2 linked regions of the Canis lupus familiaris genome follow. The protein of the gene in region 2 interacts with the protein of the main gene of each other region in a biochemical or structural test. Links are inferred from orthologs where the notes say so. Each region holds a gene or a part of one and is shown on either strand. Other genes may lie near its edges.

Region 1 (3,631 bases), about 520 kb from region 2:
ATTGGAACCCTTTAGACCAGGATATGCGAGTCACCTGGATCAGCTCAAATTAGCATTGATGTGGTCGCACTGATTCTCATGATCCCAGACTGCGCCACCCAACTGCTAGGTGATTTGGGAAGTCACTTAACCTTTCTGGCCCTCAGTTTCCCAACCTGTACATTGGGAGGAGTAGTTTCTGAACAGGTTGTGGAGAGTGCCATGCAAAGGGCATCGTGTCTCTCTGCTGTTGATAGTGGTTCTAGATGACTCAAAGCGGGTGGCCAAGCGCAAGCTGATTGAGCAGAACCGGGAGAGACGACGGAAGGAGGAAATGATCCGATCACTGCAGCAGCGACCAGAGCCCACTCCCGAAGAGTGGGACCTGATCCATGTTGCCACAGAGGCCCATCGCAGCACGAATGCCCAGGGTAGCCACTGGAAGCAGAGGCGGAAATTCCTGGTAAGGAGAGAGGCCTCCCCGCCCCCCCCCCAAGAGCTGCAGCCAGGTGACCAGGAGGGAGAGTGAGTTCAGAGTCTTGCCTCCTTCAGGAAGCCTTCTTAGTTTAATCTGACCCAAAGCTGATGCTCTCTACAATTTGGCAATCCTGACTCATACACCTGAGTATATGTTGCTGCTGTCTGAGCATGGCCTATTTCATCAGACTGGGGGGCTCCATGAGGACAGGACCTGGCCTTCCTCCTTGAATTTCCAGAGAGCATGGGTAGCTGCTGCTCTTTTCCCTGCCCACAGTGACTGAGAAGAGAGGGTGAAGACTCAGTTATGTAACAGCATTTCGGGGCCCCTGATGGGTGCCAGGCATTGCGTTAGGCCCTGGCAAAACAGAGTGCTCAGTGAATGGTCAGTTAGGGAAGAGATGGACAGTTGGTTGTATATGGTGAGTAAAGGCAGAAAACTGGTGTCTGGTTCCCGGTGGAGTGTGCCAGTGGGTGGAACAGTACACTGTTCAGAGCACAGGCTGCAAGACCAAGCATATGTGTGTATAATGGTCAGGAGTCAGACTGCCTGAGTTTTAATCCTGGTTCTGCCACTTACTAGTCATGTGCTTATTACTTGGCTTATTACTTGGGCTTATTACTTAGCTACACTATGCCTCAGTTTTCTCATCTGTGAAATGGTGGCAAGTAGAACATCCTCCTCATAAGGTTAAATGAGATATATAAAACATAGCCTAGTGTCTCCTGTATTAAATATTCAGTAAACATAGCTTCTATTATTATGTTATTATTTCTACTACTGTTATGATCATTGTTATTATTAGCCGACTTGGAGCTCTGGCTCTGCTCTGTTTCCTGCCCCAAGGTGAAGGAGAAGCCTTAGGTCCTGGATGGGGCCTTCCCCACATACTGGTGGCCCCTCTTCCCCAACCTGCCTTGGAGCTCCCCCTGGTGGGCAGGCAGCCTCAGTGAGAGGTTGAAAGGGGTCTGCAGCCCCAGCTGACCCCTTCTTCTTCTTTAGCCGGATGACATCGGCCAGTCACCCATCGTCTCCATGCCGGATGGAGACAAGGTGGACCTAGAGGCCTTCAGCGAGTTTACCAAGATCATCACCCCGGCCATCACCCGTGTGGTGGACTTTGCCAAAAAACTGCCCATGTTCTCCGAGGTGAGTAGCTGATGGGAAGAGGCATGGTGCCACACTGGAAGAAAACCTGGGGCTGCTCCCTAGGTCACTTGGTGTCAGCACATGCTCATCTGAGGTTCTCTGGACAGGGAGCGATTCCTGTAGGTCAGCACACAGCTAACACACACACATACCCAGTGCCTATAACACACACACACACACACACACACACACACACACAGCCCATGCCTAAGGAACCAAAGGCTCCAAGTCCCCAGCCTCGCCAACCCTTCCCTACCCCTCTCCCCCCACATCTACATAGCCATCCTGGCTATAGCAGCGTGAGCACCACCTCTGGGCACAGACTGCCCTCCTAGCTGTGGGATCTTGGCCATGTTACCTACCCACGGACCTCATTTTCCTCCTTGGCAGTGGGATGGAGCTAATGATGGGAGGTAACTCACATAGGCGTAATTGTGAGGTTTAATGGCTTAGGCCATGCCCATGGCCCCAGAGCAAGGTTAGCCGCTTGGAGTACACCTTACTGGCTGAGGCCAGTGGTGACCTCCTGGCTCCCAAAGGGCACCCACAGGAGACAGGAGGGGCATGCTGAGTGTTCCTGTGGCCCTGCCACTCTGCAGCTGCCTTGCGAAGACCAGATCATCCTCCTGAAGGGGTGCTGCATGGAGATCATGTCCCTGCGGGCGGCTGTCCGCTATGACCCAGAGAGCGACACCCTGACGCTGAGCGGGGAGATGGCCGTCAAGCGGGAGCAGCTCAAGAATGGCGGCCTGGGCGTGGTCTCTGACGCCATCTTTGAACTGGGCAAGTCACTTTCTGCCTTTAACCTGGATGATACAGAAGTGGCTCTGCTGCAGGCTGTGCTGCTAATGTCAACAGGTACCTGCCTACCAGCTGGGAGGGCTCAGAAGCTTCCAGGGGCCCAGAGGTTGGGTGGGCCCTGGGCACATCACACTCTTCTTCCCTGACCCCTATAGTTTTTCTCTGCTTCCCTTTGTCACTGAGCCCATTCTCTGTCCCCTGTGCTCTGCTCTGTCACCAATACCCCCTGGGTTCTGATGTCCAGGCCCATCTGTTGCCTGCCCATGCCTCCTCTGCTCCTCGTCCCATGTTTACCCCGTTCTTTCTCTCTGCCGCCCCCCCCCCCATCCGTTCTGTTGCCTGGATTCGCCTTTGTTCCCCACCCCCAGCCACCTTCTATCCCTCATCCCTCCTCAGTGCCCAGTCCCCTCTCCCTGTGCCTCCTCCCCTCTGCACTTCCTCCCACCAGCCCTGTCTCCAGGTTTCCCCTCCCTTCCCACCTCTCAGCCCCTCTGTGGTCTTTATTCCTTACCTCTTCAAGCCCCCAGCACCCCAGCCTCCTCCTCAGCTGGGCCTCTGGCTCCAGCTCCAGTGCATGTACTACAGCGGGTTTCTCACCCCTCCCCCACCCTGGCTCCTCTGCCTCAGTCTCCCTTCGCTGGCTCAACCCCCCCCTCCCCCTGCACGTCCCTCCTTCCCCACAGATCGCTCGGGCCTGCTGTGTGTGGACAAGATCGAGAAGAGTCAGGAGGCATACCTGCTGGCGTTTGAGCACTACGTCAACCACCGCAAACACAACATTCCGCACTTCTGGCCCAAGCTGCTGATGAAGGTGACTGACCTCCGCATGATCGGGGCCTGCCACGCCAGCCGCTTCCTCCACATGAAAGTCGAGTGCCCCACCGAACTGTTCCCCCCACTCTTCCTCGAGGTCTTTGAGGATCAGGAAGTCTAAAGCCTCAGGCGGCCAGAGGGTGTGCGGAGCTGGTGGGGAGGAGCGTGGAGAGAAAGGGCAGAGCTGGGGGGCTGCGGGAGGCCCCCCACCCCTCCTCTCTCCTTCCTCTCCCACACACCCCCCTCCCCGCACTGCCCATCCCTCCTCAGAACCTCCAGCCCTGGGACAGGGCAAACACATGAACTTGCTATGAAAAGGACAGTGTGGGAGGTTGGGGGGCCGTGTCCTGCACTTCCCAGGACCCTGTCCTCTAAAAAGGTAGGGGGAGGGAGGGACAACCAAGAGGGGAC
Region 2 (4,370 bases):
AAATGAAGGCAAAATCCTGCCCCCAAGAAACTCCCTATGTAGTGACTAAAGGAATGAGGGTAAAGAGGAAAAGATAAAGAATAAAATTTGAATTCTACTTCAGAGAGCATAGTTATAGATATCTTTGTGGTAGTAAATGTGTTCCCAGACGCTTCCAAAGATTTGTTCTTGGGATCCCTGGGTGGCGCAGCGGTTTGGCGCCTGCCTTTGGCCCAGGGCACGACCCTGGAGACCCAGGATCGAATCCCACGTCGGGCTCCCGCTGGATGGAGCCTGCTTCTCCCTCTGCCTGTGTCTCTGCCTCTCTCTCTCTGTGTGACTATCATAAAAACAAACAAACAAACAAAAAAAAACACAAAGATTTGTTCTTATTAAATTTACACTGCTGTGCCTGCTCACCTGAACTGCAGTTGTCTGCTGGAATGGCTTTGGAGGATGTTTGAATAGCATTTTTGAAATATGGAGAAATTCTGAGACTGAAAAGCCAGTAGAAATCCACTACTTAGTATCCTTACAGTGAACTAGGTAAAATCCAACTTTACAGCGGCTATTTTCAAAGATTTGTTTGGAAAAAGAACATTAAAAACAAAACAAAACAAAACCAAGCCTTAACTACGTCGAGAACTTCCACCAAATGCTAGTTTTGTATTTTAGCCTGGTCCTTCAGTTCCGGTGGCCATAAACTTCTCATCATTACTCCAAATTTCTCCACGTGAGGAGACAGGACTGCGCATTCTTTGTATTGTGGAGTACAAGCTAAACTGCTTGTTTTACTATGATTACCAGATAGGAACACTAGTAGTCATACACCTTAGTATATAATTAAAAGCATCCGATGCTCTGACTGCTACAAGTTTACCTTAATTTAAAACCTCCCAGATCTTAAAAAACAAAAAACAAAAAACCCCAAAACCAAAAAACCGTTATTGCGTGAGAAATATTTCTGAAATTTGAGGAAAAAATTGGGAAATGGGAATTAAGTGAATTGGGCTGGCTTGGAACGCTGTGTTACAAAGACCCAATACCATTTTCATGTTTCCACCTAGTATCTCAATAAAGCGTATTATCTTTTATTTTATATTATTTTATTTATTCACGAGAGACAGAGAGAGAGAGAGAGAGAGACAGAGACAGAGACACAGGCAGAGGGAGAAGTCGGCTCCATGCAGGGAGCCCGACATGGGACTCGATCCCAGGTCTCCAGGATCATGCCCCAGGCTGAAGACGGCGCTAAACCGCTGAGCCACCCGGGCTGCCCAGCGTATTATCTTCAACAAAATATTTCTGGTACCTATATTCTTTGAAATGCTAGTCAGTAAAGAGATCCCAGGATTTTAATTTACGAACTCCTTTGCCACTTGGAAGCGAGGTTGAGCGCCAGCAGACGGCAAACACGGTACTCGAGAGCAGTAAGTAAACCTTCAGGTGACCGAAAGCTAAGGGAAGGCGTGATTAGAAGAATCTCGCGAGAAGCACTGCATTCACTATTTTTCGCGATATTTTGGTGCCCAGCCTTTTTCCTATCTCTCGCAGGATCACGGTTAATCTCGCGATATTTGGGAAGTTCCGTTGGGAAGATGGCGGCGGCCGGGAGCGCCCTTCTCTTCTTGCCGCCGGGGACTTCAGACTGAGCCTTCCCGGGAAGAGTGGGGACGGTTGTTCCCCTGCCTCCCGGGAGCCCGAACCAACTTGGTTCCCTCGTTAGTGGTGGGGAAGGGTTTATCCTCTTGTGTAGGACTCAGGACCTCCCCACCGTCAGGATGAAGGCTCAGGGGGAAACCGAGGGTGAGTGACTTGAGGGGGAATGCAGGGGGCGGGACGCAGCTTGGGGGAGCCAATCTGTGAGAGGAGCTGGGGTGGGGGTGGCCCGATGCCTCTGCAGGGGCAACGCTCCTGAGGTCGTGGAGTCCAGGAGGCGGGATAGCTTCTGACTGTGCCTTCGTTGGTGATGCAAGGATCTGAGTCTCGGGTGATGGGGGCTCTCAACTTCTATGAAGGTTTCCTGCATAGCTAGGGACAATCACTTGGGCCTCGGAACGTTTTTAGCCTAAAGTTGATGGAAGACCAGGCGAGTGAATCTAAAACCTGCTTACACCTCGTTTCAGAAGAGATATCTGAATAATGACATTAAAAAAATACAGAGCTGTGTGTCAAATATCGGAGAATGTTTTGGCGTGAATGAAATGATTAGGACCTTATGATTTTAAAAGCTAGTAGTTCCATGGAACGTTACAATGTCCAGACTTACACTATTGTATGTTTATGAAATGCGTTGAATTTCATCCTTTCAATGGCTGGACTAACTCACAACTGCTGAAAAACAACTTTTCTGTGGAACCTTACTTAGATTCTCTAAAGTCCTACACTCTTAAATGCTTCCTTAGCATTTTGGATATAGTTTTGTTAATAAGGATCACTGTATTATGTTTACCCATCTTCTCCACTTTGAGCACCTTGTCTTACGCATCGTTGTGTAGTACCTGGCACAAAAAGTGTTTGATCATTCGTGTAAAGTATTTATCATCAGGCTTCTCAAGGAAAAGGGAGGGGAGTATTTTAAAGGAGAGGAAGAAAAAAGGTATACTCCTTGGGTGCAGAGGATTGGTGAATGTAAAATGGAAACTTGATGAGGCAGGAATTTTGTCTAGTTTGCTCATTTCTATATCCCCAGCACATAAAATCATGTGTGAATGAGTCTTGAAAGTGGGAATTGCCAACAATGTGTCCAGAACTGTAAGCTGGCTGAAACAGTCCCCAAACCGGTTTTCCAGAAGATGAGGACATTGGAGGAAGGAATTTGAATCTTGATTTAGAAAATGTCACTGCGTTAACTCTGATTGCTGAGATTATTTATCTTTCAATGCCAATATCAACTGTCACCTTTTCTGTAATCTCCCCACAACTAATAATGAGATTTTCCTTTTTTGTGTTTCAATTGTAATGTGTCTGTTTTTAACAGCATATCTCATTTTGCTTTCTGTGATGGTTATTTCCACGTTAACTTACGCACACCCCTTCACAGATACCATCTCAGGTGTATTGAGTTTTTGCATTGCCAGTGGTCTCTAGAACAGGTCCTAAGAAGTGTAAGAATTAGAGGAAGGATCACCTATATTTCAAAAGTAAAAAATTTAATAGAAATAAAGCTATAGTTCAGTAGTAAAATAACAAAAATTCAAAAATAAAAATTATAATTCAGTAATAAAAATTAGGAAGGCTGGAGAGCATAAGATCTTTGTTCACTCATAGCCCAGGAAACTGAGGACTTTTCCACCTTTCTCTTAGCTCTGCTAGAAGCTCATCCTTTAGTCATTGACATATTTCCTATCCATATAGTTTTAGTTTGAATTCAAACAGGAAAAATGAAAATGGCAAATACAGCCTATTTTCTTGATAATACTTCTGTATTGTTCTCTTAGAATTACATCAAAGTCTGCATTTCACATTGAAAACCAACTAACCAAAGTAAGGCCATGTTCAAATGTATGCTTTTCATATATCATGCAAGGGATTCATGCATATCATGAAATGATTTTGTCACTAACCCCAAAACAGTCTTGTAGTCTTGACCCCAAAACATGGTTAGAGGTGGTTCTTTTTTTGGTTTTCATTAAAAGACTGGATAGAAATCAGTTATGTTCTGTGGTGCTCATTAGTTTAGAACCCAATTTCTGTGTCATTTTGTTATTAAAAGTAAATAATTTGTATGTTTTGAAGTAAATGGTATTGAAAAATATTTCAACTGAGTTCTTACCAGGTTGAAGTGTGGGAGTTTCTTTTTGCAAGAAAGATTGTGGAAGGTCTGGAAAGGAAAGTTTCTAATAATGTTTTCTGATTTATATCGTAGAATCGGAGAAGCTGAGTAAGATGAGTTCTCTCTTGGAACGGCTCCATGCAAAATTTAACCAAAATAGACCTTGGAGTGAAACCATTAAGCTTGTGCGTCAAGTCATGGTGAGGATTAATGTAATGGATAAAGTGTTATGCTTAGATAATTATTTAATAAGCTAAGCTCCCTTTGTAAATTTTTTTCAAACTAGTTATTATAGGGTATCTCCTCAGCTTTTTTGAAAGAGAGAGAGGTGGGCAGGGAGTAGGTTGGGGGGTCGGTCAGAGGGAGAAGGAAAGAGAGACTCTTAAAGGACCCTGAGATCATGACCTGAGCCGAAATCAAGAGTCAGACCAACTGAGCCACCCAGGCACCTCAAGCCACTTGATTCTAACGAAATAGTATTTTCATTGTATATATACTTCTACTAGAGTTTGCAATTGATTTTTTTTTTTTAAGATTTTATTTATTTTTCATGAGAGAGAGAGAGAGAGAGAGAGGCAGAGACATAGACAGAAGGAGAAGCAGGCTCCATGCAGGG

What was found. The genes of interacting proteins can lie anywhere in the genome.
Region 1: the proteins of MED1 (region 2) and THRA form a complex in vitro, tested with the Homo sapiens proteins (6 studies listed by BioGRID, with this or other methods). The link is inferred for Canis lupus familiaris from reciprocal best matches to the Homo sapiens genes MED1 and THRA.

What each region holds. Positions count from the first base shown.
Region 1 is NC_049230.1:22,422,687-22,426,317, reverse strand, and holds part of THRA (thyroid hormone receptor alpha), read left to right. Parts: intron 1-236; coding exon 237-442; intron 443-1,459; coding exon 1,460-1,606; intron 1,607-2,205; coding exon 2,206-2,464; intron 2,465-3,090; coding exon 3,091-3,341; 3' UTR 3,342-3,631.
Region 2 is NC_049230.1:22,939,925-22,944,294, forward strand, and holds the start of MED1 (mediator of RNA polymerase II transcription subunit 1), read left to right. Parts: upstream 1-1,545; 5' UTR 1,546-1,760; coding exon 1,761-1,785; intron 1,786-3,847; coding exon 3,848-3,954; intron 3,955-4,370. UniProt on the Homo sapiens protein: Component of the Mediator complex, a coactivator involved in the regulated transcription of nearly all RNA polymerase II-dependent genes.